5 linked regions of the Rattus norvegicus genome follow. The protein of the gene in region 5 purifies or fractionates together with the protein of the main gene of each other region. This does not show direct contact. Links are inferred from orthologs where the notes say so. Each region holds a gene or a part of one and is shown on either strand. Other genes may lie near its edges.

Evidence for each region.
Region 1: the proteins of Nufip2 (region 5) and Ddx6 purify together in Homo sapiens (affinity purification with mass spectrometry; 6 studies listed by BioGRID and IntAct, counting the BioPlex papers as one, with this or other methods). This does not show direct contact. The link is inferred for Rattus norvegicus from reciprocal best matches to the Homo sapiens genes NUFIP2 and DDX6.
Region 2: the proteins of Nufip2 (region 5) and Atxn2l purify together in Homo sapiens (affinity purification with mass spectrometry; 4 studies listed by BioGRID and IntAct, counting the BioPlex papers as one, with this or other methods). This does not show direct contact. The link is inferred for Rattus norvegicus from reciprocal best matches to the Homo sapiens genes NUFIP2 and ATXN2L.
Region 3: the proteins of Nufip2 (region 5) and Lsm12 purify together in Homo sapiens (affinity purification with mass spectrometry; 3 studies listed by BioGRID and IntAct, counting the BioPlex papers as one, with this or other methods). This does not show direct contact. The link is inferred for Rattus norvegicus from reciprocal best matches to the Homo sapiens genes NUFIP2 and LSM12.
Region 4: the proteins of Nufip2 (region 5) and Atxn2 purify together in Homo sapiens (affinity purification with mass spectrometry; 3 studies listed by BioGRID and IntAct, counting the BioPlex papers as one, with this or other methods). This does not show direct contact. The link is inferred for Rattus norvegicus from reciprocal best matches to the Homo sapiens genes NUFIP2 and ATXN2.

What each region holds. Positions count from the first base shown.
Region 1 is NC_086026.1:53,827,253-53,831,554, reverse strand, and holds the start of Ddx6 (probable ATP-dependent RNA helicase DDX6), read right to left. Parts: upstream 2,807-4,302; 5' UTR 2,719-2,806; intron 2,680-2,718; exon of another isoform or gene 2,541-2,679; intron 2,478-2,540; exon of another isoform or gene 2,338-2,477; intron 230-2,337; 5' UTR 1-229.
Region 2 is NC_086019.1:190,517,780-190,522,087, forward strand, and holds the start of Atxn2l (ataxin-2-like protein), read right to left. Parts: upstream 2,801-4,308; 5' UTR 2,384-2,800; coding exon 2,091-2,383; intron 1,773-2,090; exon of another isoform or gene 1,681-1,772; intron 1,636-1,680; exon of another isoform or gene 1,504-1,635; coding exon of another isoform or gene 1,469-1,503; intron 1,377-1,468; exon of another isoform or gene 1,362-1,376; coding exon of another isoform or gene 1,016-1,361; intron 659-1,015; coding exon 622-658; intron 515-621; coding exon 458-514; intron 376-457; coding exon 304-375; intron 72-303; coding exon 1-71. UniProt on the Homo sapiens protein: Involved in the regulation of stress granule and P-body formation.
Region 3 is NC_086028.1:87,637,752-87,641,705, forward strand, and holds the start of Lsm12 (protein LSM12), read right to left. Parts: upstream 2,806-3,954; 5' UTR 2,754-2,805; coding exon 2,630-2,753; intron 380-2,629; coding exon 246-379; intron 1-245. UniProt on the Homo sapiens protein: Nicotinic acid adenine dinucleotide phosphate (NAADP) binding protein. Confers NAADP sensitivity to the two pore channel complex (TPCs) by acting as TPC accessory protein necessary for NAADP-evoked Ca(2+) release.
Region 4 is NC_086030.1:40,506,668-40,510,787, forward strand, and holds the start of Atxn2 (ataxin-2), read right to left. Parts: upstream 2,765-4,120; coding exon 2,574-2,764; intron 2,537-2,573; exon of another isoform or gene 1,872-2,536; intron 1-1,871. UniProt on the Homo sapiens protein: Involved in EGFR trafficking, acting as negative regulator of endocytic EGFR internalization at the plasma membrane.
Region 5 is NC_086028.1:63,071,993-63,076,201, reverse strand, and holds the start of Nufip2 (nuclear FMR1 interacting protein 2), read right to left. Parts: upstream 2,806-4,209; 5' UTR 2,750-2,805; coding exon 2,473-2,749; intron 1-2,472. UniProt on the Homo sapiens protein: Binds RNA.

The sequences.
Region 1 (4,302 bases), on a different chromosome or scaffold from region 5:
TCAAAGTCAGTAGAGAAACTGTAATAACAGTTTATGAGGCTCTCCAAAATGAAGAGATAAATAAGTCTTGCTCAATATATGAGTCCTTTATTGCAATTCAGGCAAGCACCTGTAAGTCTCTCACCGGTAAGCAGCAGTAGTTAACTTGCTCTCAAGCAACGAATCAACTTTGTATTTTTTTAAAGCGCTCTAACAAGCTTGAATTATATCTGAATTCACTCACTTCAATCTGAAACAAAGAAAAAAATTAAATTAGCAGACCACAAAGTCAGGGGGAGAAATTGTTCCCTTTTAAAGAACTCCTCTGCAATGGTCATCTTCTCAAGAACCACTAATCGACATACTCAAACCAGATCACTACTTGACATAGGAAAGACATAGCGAAGAACTGCCTTAAAAACCCAACCTACGAAAAATCCAACCTCAAACATTTAAAATTGCAAGAACAAAGCAACTTAGGGGGAAAAAAAGGCAGGAAGATACTATTGATAAAATTCAAATTCATTCTCAAATAACAATCTGTTCTTCAATCTCCTAATGAATTCTCTCCAAGTCCTGCCCCCTCTAAATGTCATTACATTTAATTACATTAAAACTTGAAATATCACTCAATTTACCTCATGTACATCTAGATTTGAACAAGACAATTCACTAACATCTTTCTATTTCTGACAGCAACACAAAAACCTTTAAATGAAAAGACTTTTCAAATACGAAGTCTTCTTACCAGTTTCAATTACAGAAATCAATTTTTTTTTATTGAATTTTGTCCTGACCAAAATAATTGAAGCAGTCAAAAGATCTGTATGGAGCAGTCTACATATCAAAAATCTTCTGCTTGAAAAACTCTAAGATTCTCTTCAACTGGAGGGGGGGGGGCAAAGAAAAAAGAAAGCCCCAATACCAAAAGTTGAATGAAAGCTGTTAGTGTTGCCTTTTACTATAACACTTTTCAAAAAGTATGTCCTAATTTAAAATAAAGTTTAGGGGTTGGGGATTTAGCTCAGTGGTAGAGGGCTTGCGTAGCAAGCCCAAGGCCCTGGGTTCGATCCCCAGCTCCGAAAAAAAGAAAAGGAAAAATAAAAAAGTTTAAACGTACGTACGTACGTGTGTGTGTGTGTGTGTGTGTGTGTGTGTGTGTGTGTGTGTCCTATAGTAAAAGGGGAAAGAAAAACCAGAGGGCTAAACTTGTAGTTTTAATAAAATTCTCCCAAATCACCCTGAATAGCGAGTCTAATTAAGTTATTTTTAAGAAAGAGTTGGTCAACCTCCTCTACTTTAAATTGTTCCCCAAATGGAATTCTCAAAATTTGGCAAATAAAAAATTACTAAGGACCAGTATAAGCCCAACTCGTTCAGTTTTATTTTGTAACCCCCTTACATTATTTCACTGGTTCCCAAAACACTAGCTTAATTAGTGCTAGTTATCTTTGCCACACACCAAGTGTCCCAAACCCAAAATTTTCAAGTCAAAGGATATCTCGTTATATATCAACTTGCTCACAAATGCTGCTTATCACATAAAGCTGTTTATTTGTTCTGTTAATAGGCATTTTCTGTATTGACAGCATATGATCAACAGTATGAGGTACGTCAAACAGGAAGGCTTCCTATTTGTACAGCACTAAGAGGCTGAAGGGGGCAACCTCTGAATACTAACGGACACCATCAGTACTGTCAATCAAGCCCAGTAAGACCCAGTGCCTTAAACCCAGAGACTTCGATAACTGCTCTCTCCAGAAACAGATACCTGCACTGCAGTTTTATGTCTCAGTTGGGGAAATATTCGTCCTACCCCTTCCCAATTTAGATTTGCAAGTTATAGTCTTAAAACAAAACCACGAAGGAACGTAGACTTAGCTGGGAGGAGCCCCTGGCAGAGTTAATTACAGCACGGCCCAGACCGTGGTTAGCAATTGACAGTTTCACACCTAAAACAGTACCATAAGCTCCAACAAGGGCTTTTGTTTGCAAATACAGCGCGATTTCTCTAAGCCTCAGCAGGAAGTTGGAGTGATTGGGGTTTTTCTGAAGGAAAAGGGGGGCTATGGAAAAGGAAAAACCAAGCTAAGACTCGGAGTCCAGTAACCGTAGGGCAATAATTCCTCTCCCCCTCCCCCAACTACACTCTACAAATCCAGCTCCTTCAGATCAAAACGCAAAAGGGTTTTTTTCTGCCCTGCAATCTATCTGCGCCACAAGAGCCGGAACCAGCTCTGCGAGTGGGAAACAATAGGGACTCCCCTCAGAAGGCCCGGAAGAGAACCCCAAAAACTGGACCGCCTCCCCTTTCCTCTTACGCCGCTGAGTCTCCCCAAACCCTATGTTCCCACCAACCTGCAAGGCCTACTTGCAACCGAGCAGCTGCGGGTCCTCTCCTAGCCCAGTCTCCGGACAGCACAGCCCTGCCGCCCCCAACAGGGCTGCCTCGCACTCCCAACCTCACTCCGGAGTCCCGGCCGCCGCTCCGTCCCCGCTCCCGTCTACCACACCGCTCGCCCAGAGCACTCCACCGCTCCTCCTCCAGACCGGGCACACACCACATTCCTCGGTTCCACTCCTCTCCGCCGCCGCCGCTGCTCCTCTCAGCGGCCACCCGCCCGTCCTCCCGGGCCAGGCCTGGGCCTCGGGCTTCCGCCCCAAGCGCGCCCTGACTCCCGCCCGAGGGGGCTCCCCGCGACCCTCAGGGCCCTACCGACCCCGACCACACCGCCTCACCCCACGCCCCGCGGCTCGGGCCCGAGTCCTACCACCCAGGCCACTCCCGCTCCGCACCCTCGGTCCTTTATTGTTGACTCGAAGCTCCCAAAATGGCGGCGGCTCCTTCCTCCTCGGAAACCTCCGCCCGCCCCCACCCGGCCCCTCGCCGCTACGCCCGCCGCCCCGCCCCCGCCGCGCCGCTCGCCGCCCGCGCCGCCGCCGCCGCTGCCGTCCCGCGCTACCTCGGCCGTAGCCCGCTGTGCCGGCGCCCCGGATGTCGCCGCTGAGCGGAGCTGACTCTGCTGCTCTGCCCCCTCCCTCGCCCGCCGCTGTCGTCTCCCTCCCTCCTTCCCAGCCTCTCCGCATGGCGGCGGCTGCGGCTCCTCCTCCACACAAGATGGCGAGAGCTCCGCCGCTGCAGCCGCCGCGGCGTCACGGCTTCCTGGGCGCGGCGGGCGAGGGTCGGGAGAGACTCGTTACTGATGGGACCGAGCTCAGGGAAACACGGGGCTGTTTTCGGGAAGGACGGACGGACGGACAGACGGACGGACGGACGGACTGGAGAGCTTGCCTGCAGAGCTGAGGAGACCAGTGGGGAAATGAATGGTGGCCGGGGAGTGTCGTCCTTGCCTTCGTCCCTCCTGAGCTGGGCTGGCCGGGCCGGGCGGAGGGGACGCCTGCTGACTGCTGACCGGGGACGCGCTCGGAGGGCAGCCTGCGCCGGTCCGGAAGCTGACCTGGGGTGGCCGGGAGGCTGCTGCGAGGCCAGGGCGCACCTCCACCCAGGGACGTGCAGAAAAATTGGGCCTGAAGGGCCGAGGCTGTCGGCGAGGCAGCGGGGAAAGCGTGAACCGGGAGCCCGCCCTAGGTCGTGGGCTACCAAGCCCAGAGTGCAGGCGAGGTGACCCTTTGCTCCTGCCGGCAGTGGCACTCTTCTAGAAAGAAGGGCGGGTCGCCTCTACGAGGGAGGTCTCGCTGTGAAAATGGGAAACCAGTAGATTCTGCTGCCTGACCCTCACTGCAGACAGCTATCTGTGCATTTGTTTCTATGATTCTCAGATCCTGAGGTCTTATCCTTAACCTAGAAAGCAGTCTTGTTTCAAGTAAAACAAACATTTCTTGTGTGTTAAGTAAAAATCGAGCTGGGCCGAAGTGAAAAACCTGCGTCCTACGCTGCTGGAGGGCTGGAAATACTGACAATGGTCAAATCATTTGTGACAATACGACTCCATACTAGATCACTCGTTAAGGGGTCCTGAACAGTCAATACTCGTAGTCAGTGACTAGCAGCTTCCATATTTTTTACCGCTGCTTCCAACTTGAGACCAATCAGAGAAAGCCAAATACGCTCTCTAAGCCAATGACTCCCTGCTTCCAGCCCTTCTCCTGCTTTCTAGACAGCAACATCCAATCAGAGTAAGCCTGAAGCACCCCTCCCCAACTGCTGCGCTTTTCGTGTGTGTGTGTGTGTGTGTGTGTGTGTGTGTGTGTGTGTGTGTAGTGCTTGTGTTAGTAAGTGTGTGTGTGTGTAGTGCTTGTGTTAGTAAGTGTGTGTGTAGTGCTTGTGTTAATAAGTGTGTGTGTGTAGTGCTTGTGTTAGTA
Region 2 (4,308 bases), on a different chromosome or scaffold from region 5:
ATGTCTTCCCGACGAGGCCCACCTGCTGGCTCAGAGGCTTTCCGATGTACCGCATCTACTGCCAGTTCAAACTACAAAAGCCCCATTCCCAACATTCCAGGGTCAGTATCAAAGGGAGGAAAAGATGGCTTCTCTCAAAGCTTTCTAGTCTTTCAACATCAAATTCTCATGTTGTTCTGCATTTCTCAACATCAGCCAGAGAACTTAGCAAAAGCCTCAAAACTGCCTGCTCTCAACCCTACACAAACCTCAATTGCACTCTCATACACAGCTTCAGAAACTCCACGATTTGAGTACACTGACCTTTGAGCTCAGCGTCTTGAAAATGCCCTCATAAGTGGTGCCATTTTTCACTTTTACATCACAGGTAGAACCCTAGCAAGGTGAAAGATTAAGTCACTTTAAAAAACTGAAACAGCATATTCCTCAGACACCCAACGTTAAAGCTCTCACTTACCACTACAGCTGTCAGGAAATGCAGCATCCTGGAATTGTTATAGACACCTTCAAACACCTGTCACACAAGAAAAAAGCAAAGGGCAGCAGGTGAATACTCTTTCTTCCCAGACTGTCCCACCCTATGTCTTCTGAGTCTTTACAAGAGGAAAAAAAGGCACTCACTGGTGACTGTGGGGGTCCCTTTCCGGTGGTCTGTCCCCTGTTAAAGAGAGAAACTAGTTTTAATTAACAGTGAACCCTAGAACAATGTACCATGTCAACTTGCTGATTTAGGCTACGGGCTGATTAACAAATGCTCACATTAAAGAGGAAAGCAGGAATTACTTGCTAAAACATTTTCTCCAAATTCAAGATTTTAAAAAGCCAACAAAAAATTCAATAAACAATAGCTGTCAAATGCGGCTAACAGCCAATGCAATACAACCTGACTTCCTCCAAGGGGACTTCACTCTTCCCATAAAACACTGCTGTATTTGTAAACCAACAGCCCAATTCAGTTGTGAAGGTGAAAGCTCGGGCACCCCAAATGCAGCACTACTGAGCTTAGACACATTACCTCCCAAAGGAAAAAAGCACTTTCAGCAGCCTTGGATTCCAAATCCCAGGAGGGGTATACTCTCCACACCCCACCCTTTCGCCCTCATTATTTTCATTCAGCCTGTTACCCACTCTGAAAGGATCCCCAATCGCCAGGTAACACAGCTCCTCGACGGCTGATGTAACCGGCAGTTGAGGAGGGCGAGGAGGGGGCCGTTGGCGGGGCTGGGGGACCGCGCAGCCGCAAAAACCATCCACCGGGATGCCTCGCCCGGTATGCGCCTGCGCACTAAAGCCCATAGCCCTCCACCCGCTCTAGAACAGAAGCCACTGCGCCTGCGTCTAGTGGCTGCTTCTAATCGCATTGACACACCAAGAAAACCGAGGGCACCCACTCCTCACTCACCAACACCAGACGCCCCTAAACCCTCCAACCAACCCCCCCCTCCTCAGTCTTTGCTCTACGTGTTACCGGGGCAAGCCAATGCCCGAGTCATAAGACAGCATCCGCGCGCACGTACGGGCAGGGAGCGCGCGCGCAGGAGCTTCCCAGTCTGCAGTCTTCCCAGTAGCCGCTGCTTCCGCGCCCCCGCCCACTCCGTTCCCCTCTTACTGGCTACACCGGGAAGAGGAGGGAACAATCTGCTCCCAAGTCCCTCCCTTCCCATTGGTCAAACTGTGGGCCGCGCGCCCCCCCTCTATTGGCTACAGCCGGGGACCCCTTCATGCAGCTGACTCCCCATTGGCTGAAACCGGGGACCGCGAGATCCTCCGTGGTAATGGAGCTGGGGACCCCATCACCTCCTCAACCCCCCCAACACCCTTTTCCGACGGAGCTGGCGGGACGCGCCCCGCCTCCCCTCAGGGCCCAGACCCCAAGCGGTGACTAGGCCCAGAGAGCCGAGCACTGCCCCCAGGCTCCTGGAGACCGCCCGGAGATCTTTCTCTCCGACCTGTTGGCACGAGGGTCTACCCCCTCCTTCACGGGGTTCTGGGCCCTAAGAGCCCCTCAACAGCGCCAAGCCCCGGCGCGCCTCCGCCAAAGCCGAGTCGCTGCCACCTGGGCTCTCCCCAGCCAGGAGTCCCGTTCTCACCTGACGCTGCCGATAGCCACTGCCCCTGGCCGTTCTTGATGCTGCTGCGGCGCTGGCGCCGCCAAGATGCTTTCGGCTCCGCGGCGGAGCCCGCTGCCGGCAGCGGCTGCAGGCCCCAGGCACGGAGAGACCACTGTGGGAGGCCCCGGGGGAGCCGCGGTAGCGGGCAGCGGTCCCGGGAGGCCGCCGTTGGGAGGGCTAGTCCCGCCGGGAGGCCGGCGAGCCACGGCCTGTTGCGTGGGGGGCGGCTGCTGGGGCTGGGAGGTCTGTTGTGGCGGCTGAGGCTTCAACATGATGGCAGCGTCCGGAAGAGAAATTAGAGGGAAGGGAAAGAGGGCCTGAGGCTGGGCCCCTGCTGGAGAGCGCGGGAAGCGAGAGAGATCGCCAAGCAGGGGACCCGCCGTTGGCGGGCGGGGGGAGCCCCGCGGTGTCAGGGGTGGATTGAGAAGACGGCGGCGCGAGGAAGCGCCGCGAGGCGGAAGGGGAGGGGGGGATGTCGCGGGCCGGTGGATAGCGAGAGGGCGCGAGCCGGCTTGGCGCGCGTGCGCGTCGCTGGAGAAGGAGAGAGGGAGGAGCGCGGGCGGAAGCGCCGGCGGGGGAGGGGCGCGGGGAGCGCCGCCAGGCGGTTAGTTCCGGAAAGCAGAAGAGGCTCCAGTTGTGGCTCAGACTGGTCTAGCCCTTAGGGCGGAAAAGGAGCCGCGCAGGCGCCTAGAGCACCTCTAGGTTCCGAGCCACCTTAAATACTGGCGGCCGCGGTTGCTTCACAACGAGTGTGGGAGGGGCCAAAGCCAGGAAGGGGAAGTGCCGGTGGACCCGCCCCTCCCACGCCACAAGCGTAACGTCAGAAAGTCTCCGCGGTGGTGTGAGGTATCACGTCGTAGCGTGAGGTTCTTCCGCCACTGGGTGAGCGGTGGGCGGAGTCTCGTGGGCCAAAAAAAAAAAAAAAAAAAAAAAAAACCCTAGGACAAACCTAGTACAGGTAACTTTAAGGCAGGTGGGTTTTTAAATATGCTGTTCTCCATCTTACCTCCTTTAGAATATTAATGAGCATTAGAATGACTACTTGAGCGTAAGTGCATCCTAACAAAGGTGTCCAATTTGAAACTGAAATTCAGTGACTTTTTCTGGGATAGTGAAATCCAGAACAGTAACAATACAGGCAGTCTGGAGGCTAGACTTCTAAGAGTATATTACAGAACCCAGCCCAGGCTGCATAGCAAGACACTGTCGGAGAATCGTGGTACAATGCTTGCCTATAAAGGCAGCCGTCATTCAAAATGAGGGCAGCTGTGGTGGTTCACAACTTCAATCCCAGCACTAGGAAGGAAGGGTAGGAGGATCAGAAGTTTGAGGCCAGCCTGGATTATATAAGTTCCAGGTCAGCTGGGCAGACCTTGTTTCAGAAGGAAGACAAGTTGAACATTGGTCCATGCTTTGGGCACAAGGGTAACTAAGAAACTCAAAGCTCAAAGTAGTGCAAGATTTATATAATTTGACCAGAGGTACTTGGTAAAACAGAGCAGGAAAATGGATTTCTATACAGGTGGAATAGATCTGACAGCTTGGATGGAGCCTGAAAGTCTCACTATTTCCTTTAGCTGGCTTTCACCTCCCTGTGCCAACCAGGGTGGTCTTAAACTTACAGAGATCTGTCTGCCTTCTTCCTAAGTGCTAGGATTAAGACATACATCATCGGGGCTGGGGATTTAGCTCAGTGGTAGAGCGCTTACCTAGGAAGCGCAAGGCCCTGGGTTCAGTCCCCAGCTCCGAAAAAAAGAACCAAAAAAAAAAAAAAAGACATACATCATCACACCCAGGTTTTGTCATGGAATGTTAACCTAAAATCCTACTATTGGTGAACACAATTCAAAAATTAAATATAGGATTGGGTGGACACTAACAAACTGAACATAGTTGTATAGATGAGTCCAAATCTACATTTAGATTAATAACCCATTGGAGGCAGAAAAATGGAATTAATTAAAGTCATCCCTACATATTTAGTTTAAGGCCAGCAGGTCAGGTGAGACTTGGCACACACTTCCCAAAAGGTATGCGAGCAGGGGAAAGATAAATAGATCATTTGGTAGCAGTGTACAAAATAAAAATTTGTGTACTCTGTGTGTGTGTGTGTGTGTGTGTTTGACCTCACAGGCCAGACGCTGGCATCAGGTCCCCTGGGACTGGAATTAGCAAATGTAAGCTGCCATGTGGTTGG
Region 3 (3,954 bases), about 25 Mb from region 5:
ATCCCAGCACTTGGATGGCAGAGTCAGGAAAATCTGAAGTTCAAGGTTACATAAAATACACAAGAATCTGTCTCAAAAAGGAAGAAGAGAGAGTAGTCCCCACCCCAAGAAATGAAACAGAACACCAGGGTCGTAAGTAGGTTTAAAAAAAAAAAAAGCACAGAACAATGCATACATCCTCAAAAGCTGGAGAGCATCCCTCCTTCCCAACATTTCAGACATCGAGAATGTCCTTGAGTTCTTACCTTACTAACATTGAGTGAAGCTAGGGGAGGAGGGGTTTCTGTTCGATCGTTAATTATTTCCACTTCTGAAACATACTGTAAGTTTATAAGCAAGATGTCTGCATGGTTGGGCTTTCCACTGGAAGAGGGACATTCTGGTGAGAAAATAAAGTTAAGGAAAATAGGACAAAGGCACACTGCACAAGTAGTATACACAACGATCCAGGCAGGAGGCCGGTGGTGTCCTGCACCTTTAATCCCAGCACTTGGGGGAGGCACAGGCAATCAGATGTCTGTGAGTTTGAGGCCAGCTGAACCACTGAGGGAGTTAAAGGACAACCAGGGCTACACAGAGAAACTCTATCTCCAAAAACTACATACATACACACACACACACACACACACACACACACACACACACACACACACACACATACACACACACACACATACACACACACACACCAACATACACACAAAGAAGAAAACTATACCAGTGTATAGGAAAGGCATCCCCGAGCGAGCCTCATAGGAATCTTAGCTCTCAATAAACCCCCATCAACTTGCTCCTGCTCAAAGCAAAGGATCTCAAAATTTTTAAAGCCATATACAGCCAGAAATTGAAACCTTCAAAAGGGTTCCTGTCACTTTCTAAATGGGTTTTAGGGGAAGAAATACAGTCTTGATGTCAGATGCACTGCTTGTCTTAAACTTAGGAACTATAAAGAGGCACCAGTGTTTTGAAGTTTGGGGTCATACTAGAATCTCCCTAAATCTAGACAGTGCTTCTCACTTATTCAGATTTCATGCTTTTCCTTTCTTTCTTTCCAATTTCTTTTTCACACTTGAAATTTCCCATTTTTCAGAGGCAAAAAGTACACCATTGGGAAGGAAACTACCTAAAATGAGACCTTATTCATTCATCCACCCATTCATTCATTTTCCAACCATTTACTAAGACCCTGCTGTATGTCAAATAAAAAGAGTGAGTCTTCCTTTTAAGATTCTTCCAGGGCTGGAGAGTTGGCTCAGCGGTTAAGAGAACTGACTGCTCTTCCAGAAGTCATGAGTTCAAATCCCAGCAACCACATGGTGGCTCACAACCATCTGTAACGAGATCCGATGCCCTCTTCTGGTGTGTCTGAAGACAGTGACAATGTACTCGTCATATATAAGATGAATAAATAAAATGTTTCAAAAAGGGGTTGGGGATTTAGCTCAGCGGTAGAGCGCTTGCCTAGCGAGCGCAAGGCCCTGGGTTCGGTCCCCAGCTCTAAAAAAAAAAAAAAAAAAAAGTTTCAAAAAAAAAAAAAAAAGACTCTTCCAACTAAGTCACCAAAGGAAGAGCCTTTAGGCCAAGTATGATCTCTTGTTTTTAAAATAACACATACAAAAAGAAATTGTTCTTATTGTATGGCATTCACCAAGAGATCTTTCTGAGCTGGAAACCAACAACTCACAATAAGAAACTCCGACAGAGGCTACCTTCTAAAAATAATTCGAGTAAACCCACCTGTAGCTCAAATAAAGGGGGAGGCAGAGGTTCATTTATTCCAACCAGGAAGTGTTTTGTTTTCCAACAGTGAGTTGGTGGAGTAATTCAGCAATCATTCCCACCCCAAAGGAACAGGGCCACCTCTTCCATGCAGTTTAACACTGGTACTTTCAAGGAGAAGGACGTTATTACGGAATGTGTTGAACTGAACAGAAGCCCACACACTATCATATATAAGCCCCTGCAAAACGTGGCAAGTCCTCTTTAGACCAGGCTTCCAACACCCCCTAAGCAGCGATTTTCAAATGACTGAGAACCTTAAAGTCAGCACAGTGACACCAAGCATACATGACTCCAGCAAAATTAGCCACCAGTTCAAATACAAACTCTGTCCTGCACTTCCCATCCCCAAACTGGCAAGGCCCATTAGACCACCATCCCACCACCGCCCTTTCTTGAATCAAATCTCATCAGCAATCTATACCCTTACCCTACTAGCAGTTCCTGACCCTACACACCCCTCCCCATAGCATGTTACCGCTCCCCACTCCATCCGGGCTCCAATCTCCAGCCCTCTCCTTACCACTATCCCCCTCCCTTAATCACGGAGTCCCCTTAACACATCGTCCCCTCCCGAAAAGCCAGGCGCGTGTCAAGCCCTGCTCCACCTACCAACCCTCAGTCGGGGCCTAGCTCCCACAAGGGGTGGGAGACAAGGGTCCCCAAAATGGACCGAAAGGCCCGCGGGAGGGGGAGGGGAGTTCAGAGCCGTGCGCATGCGCCCGGGGCACCGCGGTAGCCGGTCGCCCCTAGGCCGGGAGAGGGCCCTAGCTGCCGCCGCCGTCCCCCGCCCCCCCACCACCGCACCTACACGCCGGCCCGGCCTCGGGGTCCACGCAGAGAAGGATACTTAGAGCCAGCATTTTGGACTGGTAGTCGAAGGCTACCACCTCGCCCTGCAGCCGCTGCTCCTGGCACGTCCGGCACGACACCTGGCTCCCAACGCTGAAGTACTCGCCCGGAGGAGCCGCCATCTTGGGAGAGCAGCCGCGGCCGGCGGCGGCGGCGGCAGCAGCGGGCGAAAGCCGGGCCCCCAGCAAGCGCCGCGACGCGACGCACGAGGCGTACTGACGTCACGCGCAGGGGCGTGGTCTGGCGCTGGGTGGGGCGGGAGCCTAGGTGAAGAGGAAATAAAGGGGAATCTAGAGTACAGTAAAAATGTGCGGCCGCTGGTCTGCTTGGCTAAGTACTTGCACGGCTCTTTTGGAAGCTAAGGAAATAAATGCATGTAAAGAAGAAATGGACGAAATGGAGAAAGAGAAAGCACCTGGAGTCTCGCTTAAGCCCACACCTTACGCAAAAACGTTTAATGAATGAACTCTATAAAATATTATCCTCATTTGCATACGAACAACCAGAAGCTCACAGGACTTAGCAGGACTCACTCAAAATGATTATAACCAATTATAAAGTACTCGTACAAAAAGCTTTAGCTGTAAGGTTAGGCAAACTAGAACCTGAGGCTGTTTACCAAATAATATAACCTTAAGCAAATTATCAAACTTATGTTTCTTCAGTGGGATGTAAATACCACTTATTCAACATCTGGCAGCCCCTCAAGGAAGGAATCAATATCCTCATTTTACAGCTAAAGAAAACTCTTAAAATTGTCAGGATCTGGGGCTGGGGATTTAGCTCAGTGGTAGAGCACTTGCCTAGGAAGCACAAGGCCCTGGGTTCGGTCCCCAGCTCCGAAAAAAAGACCAAAAAAAAAAAAAAAATTGTCAGGATCTCACAACTGGCAAAGCCACGGTTTTGAGTCTAACAAAGGTGCTATTTACTGACCTATATCAGATAATAACATTTGCCTCCTAAGGCAGTAAGGAGGCTTAAATGAGATAATGCCTACATGCATGACCTAGAGTATCTAAATAAATAATAGTAACCCTGTGATCAGAAAGCCAAGTAAAAGTAAGAACAGCTCTGGGATGTAGCTCAGCTATAGAGTTCATATCCTCAAGGCCTGGGTTCAAGTCTCAGCACCAGGAGAAACATACATACATACATACATACATACAAACATACGAGAGAAGGGATGTCAAGAGCAGGGAATACTAATGATGACTAAGTCCCCCTCCCAATAATATCCATTTGATATTACAATATTTACTAACCTCATGGGGGGAACTGTGCAGATGCACTTTTAAACCCAGCACCAGCTGCCACCCTTTACCT
Region 4 (4,120 bases), on a different chromosome or scaffold from region 5:
ACCAGATTAAAGGGGAAGAAGGCTGCATCACACATGAGCACGACGTCACGAAAGGTCAAAGTCAAGAGTAAGTAGATTCGGGTGCAACTGTGGTAAGATTTTTAAAAAGTGATCACATACGGTTCTTTTCTAAGAAAGTGGCCTCTAAGTGATGATGGGAAAAAACTGTTCTCAAAAATCACACAAAATTCTGTTCACACAAAAATCAAGTCAGATCCAGGCTGGCTGAGTAGCAAAATCCTTTTCGAGCAAAAACAAGGCCTGGGTTGGGGTTCCAGGTTGGGGAGGGTCCAGAAAGGAAACAGTGCTTAAGGCGGCAGTAAAGTGCATTTTGCTAATTCAAACATGACAACATCAACGCCACTTTTCAAGTGTATTTATTGTGGAGGAGGGGACATGCCCTGGCAGGTGTGGAGGTCAGAGGACAACTTGCAGCAGGAGTCAGTTGCTTCCTGCTGTGGCAGCAGAGGTGTGGGAATCCTGGTTGACAAGCCTGGCCGCAAGGGCCACTGAGCCACCCCACCACCCGATGCTACATAGCCCTTCCACAGCCATGCTGCCAGCCCTACTTTAAAATGACACACACAAACCCAAGCAAAACTCTACAAGTTACAATGCATTTACAACCCTGAGGAGAGTAAGAACAGGAGGATGGCGTTAACCAAGGTTCTGTACAGAACAAAAGTACCCATTCTGAGCACAGGCATTGGACGAAGGAAACTTAAAAAGAAACCTATGCGCCAAGTAAGAGAACTTAAAGCAGGGAAGGCTCTAAATGCCCTTCCCTTTTGCAGAGCCTCAAAAGCAGAGACTGACAGGGGTCCTAATACCCTGCCCCTCCCTGTGGAGTCCAGCCAGCCACAGTCTAATGTTTAAGCCTACAGAGTAAGCGAGGCTCAGGAACTTTAATCTGTATTTGAACAAAACGTAAATGCGTGCCACTTCCTGAGAACCAAAGATTAAAACATGAAAAAAGCAAAGAAAAACATGTATCCTTAAAGTTAAATTTAAATATTTTTTCGTTTTTCACTAAAAGTCAAGGACGGAAAAGAAACTCAAGTTACAAACCCTAACTTCGCAGAACCGTGGAAATAGAATGATGGTTTAATTTGAACGAGGCGGGTTAAGAAGGGTTTGAAAGGCCTCATGCTTGGGAAAATTGGGAGTGTGGGGGAATAAAGTAAAACACATACTGTTCCCAGAAGAACTCCTTAAAACCCGGCTCTGATTCACCCTGCGGGTTAACTTCTGCTGTACAGGAACTCTCTGGAAATGGACAGCTGGACAATGGGGCTAAGAAAACTCCAAACAAGAAAACTCCCCTTGCCCACCTCCTAAGTCCTGGATGTCTATTTAAGGAGGCCCTGCCAGCCAGGCCTAGGCCAGAGGGAGGCACAGTAGTGCCTGTTACACAGGGACACAGGGGAAATGGACTTGCATGCCCTTGGTAAGCTCTGGCGGCGGCGTTTCCCAAGTTAAGGACACCGGCCACAATGGAATGGAGTCTATTGGCATTTGCCTCTCCGTTTTAACACTAAGCATTTTCTTAGTTCGTGAAATACGAACTGACAAGCACCCCCACCCCTCCCCACCCCCGCGCGCACACACCCTCCAGAGTCAAGCCCAGTCACACAGGACAGCACCCAGCCTCCTCCAGCTCCTACCAACGAAATCGGGCCCAGGGAAGGGGAAAGGGGGCCGAGGGCGCAAGCCAACACTCGCGTCGTTGCCTTCGGGACCCGCACCAACTCCTCTGTGGAGGCTCCTCACCCCTAAAAATTTCAGGAACTGGGACAGGGGTTGGGAGGGAAAATGAGCTGCGTGTCCGGTGCCCGCCGCCAACCCACCTCTCGAGTCCGGCCCTCGCCCACCTCTATTCAAAGGCGCCTTCTGCTCCGCGGACGAGAAACAGCAATGCGGATCGGCCACCACCCGCGCGCAGGGGACCTTGCGGGGAAGGAGGGAGGCGGGCCTGGAGGGAGCAGGGCACTCCCACCCCTTCCCCAGCTGGGGGAGGACAGCCCGCTGCGGGAACCCCGCCGCCCCAGATCTAAAGGGGGATGGGTGCGCAAGGCCGCTGGCCACCCACCTCGCCTCGGTCGCCCACCTTCCCAGGGTCTGCGAGGCGGGAATATGCAGGACACCCGGCTGACCCTACCTGGGGCGGCTGGGCCTCAATCTCCCCTCCTCCCTCCCGACTCCCCACCCAGCAGTGAGGCTCATTTCAGGAGAGGGTCCCCCTGCGACCTGCACCCTGGCTCAGCCGCTCTTCCATCACAGGCAGGGGACCCAGCAAGGGGGTGGGGCGGGGAGACCAATCGCCCCTAGCACACACGCGAGGGGCAGGGGGCCGCCCGGGCCGTCCATCTTGGCCGTCTGGGGGGAGGGGACGCGATGGTGCGGGAGGCTGGACACGGCCTGAGAAGCCCGAAGGATCTGCCGGCGCCTCCCGCCCCTCCGCGGGCCCCCGGCCCATCGCTACGCCGGCCGGTCACGGGGCGAGGCGGGGGAGGGGACGAGCGGCGCGGGATCGGCCAGGCGGGCGCGGAGGGGGCTGGGGAGCCGACACCCACCTGCCCAGGCCGGGACGCCCGCCGCCCGCGACCGCCGAGGAAGACGCCACCGGCGCGGCAGGGGCCGGCACCACGGAAGACGAGGTCGACGCGGCCGAGGCCGGCGCGGCGCCGGGCGACGAGAGCAGGCCGCCGCCGGGCTTGCGGCCACTGGCGGGCGCGGGCGGCTGCGGCTGCGGCTTCAGCGACATGGTGAGCGGCCCATACACCGGCTCGCACGCCGGGCGGGGACAGCCGGGAGCCGGGCGCGCTGAGGAGACGCCGGAGCGCGGCGGGGACGCGCGGACGCCGAGCGGGCAGGCGCGGGCTGGCGCGGTCGCGGGTGCCAGAGGCAGCAGGACGACGACGAAGGGGCGGGGAGGCCCGCAGACACCGAACAGCCGCCGGGAGCCGGGCCGGGACGCGCCGTTGCCGTTGCTACCAAAACAGTCTGAGGCGCAGGGCGGCGAGCGCGGCCCGCGGGGAGGGGCGCCGGGGCCGCGCGGGGGAGGGCCGGCGGAGGGATATGCTACCGCGCCGCCCCGCCCGCCGCGCCGCGCCGTCCGCGGGAGCGAGCGCCGCGCGGCCCAGCCCGACAGGCGGCGCGGCTCGGGGCCTGCCGCGGGCCGCTGAGCGGCGTCTGTCGACGGACGCATGGGAGCCGGGCTCGCGGACGCGTACGGGGCGACGCGGCCTGGAGGGCGCGGAGATGCGAAACAGAGCGGGGGGGACTCTTTACCGGAAGTCGGAAGGGTCAGGCGGAAGTCGAACGTGAGACGGCTCGGGGGCCGATCGGGGACACGTGAGGAGCGGGCGCAGCGCTGGGCCGCGTTCGCTCTCCGGGGTCGGGGTAGGGCCGTGGGGGATCCGCCCTCGCTGAGGCGGGTCTGCCCTTCGAGGAGGGAATGCTTGTCTTCGGCCGCTGGCCCTGCTTCGCGGACGGGCACCGTGGGCTGCCCGGGTGTCCTCAGCCCCCTTCGGGGACCTTGGTTTCCCCCCCACCAGATGCAACATAGAGGATGGCCCGCGGGCGCCTTCGGGGCGGAGACCTGCATTCGGGCCTGGCACACAGTAGGCCCCCAGGTGCCACTGCGTGCTTGGTTTCCCTGCCAGCGTGGGAAGCTTGCCACCACTGAAGCCACCGCCAGCTGCTTCACTTTGCCCCACTTTATTCACCCCAGCGAACTGTTGGGTATCTGACCTTCATTTGAACCCTTTTTTCCCCTCACTGGAACGTCTTACTCCTCCTTCAGGCGACTCCAAAGGGAAATGGACGTGATTGGTAGAGCTGGGTAATGGGGGTCTTACCGTGGATAATGGGGTCTCCCTCATTGGAGACCTCGCAAAAATGTCAACTTTAGACCTTGACCCCTTTTAAAAAGTTTTACTTTAACTCGGGAAGGCCACCAAACTAGCCCTTTTTTTTTTTTTAAGGTGTTGTAATTAAATTGGAAGCAAATGGGTAACTTTTTGCAATGAGTTTAGTTGGTTTTTTGGGTTTTTTTTCTTTTTGTTTTTTTAAGTGAAATTGCTTAAGGGGATGATGGGCAGAGGACAGCAAAATCCGA
Region 5 (4,209 bases):
TTTAAAGCTTAGATATTTAAGAAAAATGTGAAGATAGTAGTTATAACAGAAAGCAAAGAATTCCTGTGTCTTTACTATTTGGGGCTGCCATGATAACTCCACTTCAAATGGACTCAGTAAAACTTGAGTCCCAATAAATCTAGCTTTTGGATTTGACATTGCAATTACTCAACATGTTTGGCCTCCTATGCCCTTACTTCTGAATACAGAAAACCAGTTTCACTTAAGTTTGGGAGTAATGGTTCATAAAAACCCATTACGTTATGTACCTAACATTTTCTAGATTTCTTAGCACTGTATAAAATGACCAAACTACACATGGAAAAGCCACTCAGCCCAACTGATAATATTCTTCATCCCAATTTAAGACATTTTGAGGACAGCCACCTTCAATGAATGGTTCAAGGTCTGCATCTCTATGGAGTAAGGAATCCGATGGGGAATACACAAACCTTGTAAAAGATAAATTCTAAATCTTTGAACAGTTCCATTTGGCAACCTTGACACTTTCTCACCTTCTGAAAAACCAAAACCAATGCAGTTACATAATTCCTAAGTCTCTAAGCTGCTGTAAATCCTTACAATTAAACATTTCTGCTCCATCATCAGTCCCTACCACCTTATAAAAGAAAATCTGATATCCATCCAGGTGTCTTCAAATAACTTACGGTCTACACTAAGTTTTTCACCAGTAACTACTTGTATTATATGATAGGCTAAGTTTAACATTTTTCTAAGCATTCCCTTTTCAGTTTAAAAAAAAAAAGCACTTTAATGTGCTTATATATAAACTTTGATGCTTATTTTTTAAATATTTCAAGACTCCACGTTTAATATGTTAAATAACATTCAGTTTGGGGATAGAAGTCGGTTTTAAAATGCACCAAAAACACCTCTCACTTTAACCAAAAAGGTCTTGTCCAAGGTAAGGGATTAGTGACAACCGCATGGACAAGTCACTTCCTTTCCAGTTCATCGTTAAAGAAACAGGGAACCCAAAACTGCCCGTGTTGTCCATCCAATCGAACATCTGATTAATCCCTCCTACAGTCACTAACCCAGCTCACAAGTTTAGTAGGTGTTGAGTGGAAAAACCAATGGAGTAAGGTTTGAGAGGTTGCCGGGCCCCCCACCCTCCTTGGGTAGGAAATGCGCTGCTATAAAGAAAAAGGCCTAAGTGAAAAAGCCTCTGAGGCGGAGTCGTGAGCGAACCTGGCAGGAGATGAGATTCCTGTGGCAGAGAAACTCGTGACCCGGGAGCTTGGTTCCCGCTGTGTACCCCACCAGGCCTCAGGCACCGCCTCTACCCAAAATGAATCCCCTCGCCCCTCGCAGGCCGGCGGAACGCTGGGGCCGCCGCCCGGGCCTCCTTCCCCCTCTAGCTCCTCTTCGAGGCCCGCTCCCTCCCGGCCGCCCGCGCCTCCCGCCGCACCCGGGAGCGGGAAACGCGGCCGTCGGCGCGCGAGTCCACGGTGCAGGCCGCTCCCCTCGTGGCCGCTTCCCTCCCCCACCCCAACCGCCCCCGCCCCTCACCCCAGGGACCCGCCCGGGGCCGCGCGGCCGCCACCGGGTTACACAACCCGGCGCGGGGCGGGGGGAGGGGCGGCGGGCGGCGGCCGCCCGCAGTGCGGGGGACCTGAAGAGGGCTGCACAGGGTCCCGGGGCAGCGGTGCCAGCGTCCCGTGTGGCCTTCCGCACCCTTCCCCCTCCGCTCCTCAGCCGGCCAGAGTCGGTGACAGGAATCGGCTTCCAACATGGCGGACAGGAAGCGGCCCCGCGAGGAGAAGAGAACATTCCAGCCTCGCCGGCTCCGAGGCGAGCGGGCCAGGGGCGCCGGCCTCTGGAGGTGCCTCGCGGATAGACAGCGGGGTCCGGAGCCCAAGATGGGCATTTAGGGATAGAAAAGACCCGAGGGACGATGGGGTCCCAGCCTACCCCCCCCAGGACAGCAAACCCCAAGGCCACAGGTGGGCTTGGGGTGGCGGGTGAGGGAGGACGCTTCCTCAACTCAGCCCTCAGCCCCGCTCCTCGCCGCCTGCAAGCGGGTCTCGCGACACCACCCGAACCGGAATTCACTAGGCCTGGATTACAGACACCTCAAGGGATTTTTTTTTTTTTTTAGGACAGATGAGTTTCACCCCTTCTTAGGGCCCCCACATTCAGGCAACTCCAGGGCCGCACTAGAGGGAAAAATAAGGCTGGACTTCCAAGGCCGACCGTACAGGTCTGCCTCCGGCCGGGGCGGGGGCCGAGGAAGGTCACGCTGGCCTGACTGGGCCTCTCCCATGCTAAAGGGAAGGAGAGGGCGCTGCAATCCCCACCTCGCGGCCCGCGCCCGGGAAGAATAGAAGGGGGCATCCCCGGCCCGGCGGGACGCACACCCCGACCGGGTCCGCGCTTTTCACATCTAGCCCCACCCCCATCCCTTCCCCCCAACCCAGTCCCCTTCCCCCACCGCCCTCCCTCTCAGACCTGTTTTCTTCTTCGGCGTTTCCTGGTGCTGCTGGAGGGTGTGTTTCTGCTCATGTTTCAGCGGCTTGGGCTGGGCCTTGGGGCTGCCCTCGGCTCCATGCTGCAGGTATTGGTGAGGCTGCTGGTGATGGTGGTGGTGGTGGTGGTTGTGGCTGTGGTTGTAGAAATAATAATGGTGGTGGTGGTGCGACTGCTGTTGCTGCTGCTGGGGGTGATGGTGCGGATGGTGGTGGCTGTGATGGTGCTGAGGCTGTGGCTGGCCGGGCTTCTCCTCCATTGAAAGCGGCTGGGACTCCCTGGCTGAGGCTGCGGGCTGCTGCACCGTCAGGATCTGAGACTGCTTCTCCGCGCTCGCTCAGTATATCTGAGCGCGTCTCGCCAGCGCACTGGTTAAGCGAGCGGATCTGCGAGATTGGCAGCCGCGCTCCAGCAATCAGGAGCCACGCTGCGCGTCAAGCCCCGCCCCTAGCCCAAATCCTCTTCCCTTCCCCTTCGCCACCGCCGCCTGGCCAACGCCACTTACCCTATGCAACCTCACAGGGCCGGGCCTTCAACGTCAGCATTATGGCTCTCTCTTCTATCGCTTTCTCTCCTTCACCACGCAGTTAGCGAACAGCACTTTCTACACTCCTCACAGCGAGCAAGCTGATGTCGAGTGTAGCAGATTCCACTGAGGATTCTACTGGCGCTAGGAGCCATCTGTTGGTTTTGCACCTCCTAGAATATGTTGGGGTGTGTGTGTGTGTGTGTGTGTGTGTGTGTGTGTGTGTGTGTGTGTTTAATTCTTTTCCGGGTAGTCGAGGGGGAGGGAGGCGGGGGGGGGTCTCAATTTCCTTAACCCTTAAACCACGAAAGGGGCAATACAAAAAAAGAGGAAATAAATACATTTTTAAGAATACAAGAGCCTCACAACTCGATAGATCGTTTTGTATTCTGGATTCATTTTGCTTTGTATTCATATGCTAATCTCTTCCTTTCCACGGAGGGATTATAGGGTTCCACAATAGGGTATCTGTGTAATTTTCTAAAAGGGCACAAAGGGCTTAAATCATTGTTTCTTTGTAGTTGAAGGCAAGAGAGAGAGAGGAATGAAAAATCTACACTGAAGTTTTTTGTTGTTTTGTTTTTTTAATTAAACACTGCAGGTGAGGTCAACTATGAAACCAAAATAGGTTTTAGGATAAGACTTTCAAAAGTGAAGGAAAGGAGAAAGAAAATCTTTAAAAGTTCTTTAAGTTTTGGGTTTTTTTACATTTTTTGCTTTAAATTGAAAGAAAACATTGAAATTTAAAGGCATATTTGCATTTTATGCTGTTAATTCAACCTGTTATGATAGGAAGGAAGAAGGTTGTGATGAGGACAGACACGCGGCACCCTCTTAGTATATTAGGGGTGGGTGTTGACTGGGAGTTTTGTTTGTGTGTTTTGGATTGGATTGGTTTTGAAACAGCATCTATGTAACCCTGATTGACTTGGAACTACCTTTGTAGAAGTGTCTGGCCAACTAAGAGGTTCCCCCTGCTTCTGCCTCATGAGTGCTAGGATTAAAGTCCTACATACCAGCACACCCAGCCAATGTGCTATTACATGAATGCTTGCTTTATAATTCATTTAAATTATACATATAATGCATACACATCTACGTAATACAAGGGAAATTTTAAATGTAAAGTTTACCATCTTTTGTATTTATTTTGTTTTGTTGTCTTGGTTGGTTTGTTTGTTTGGTTGGTTTTG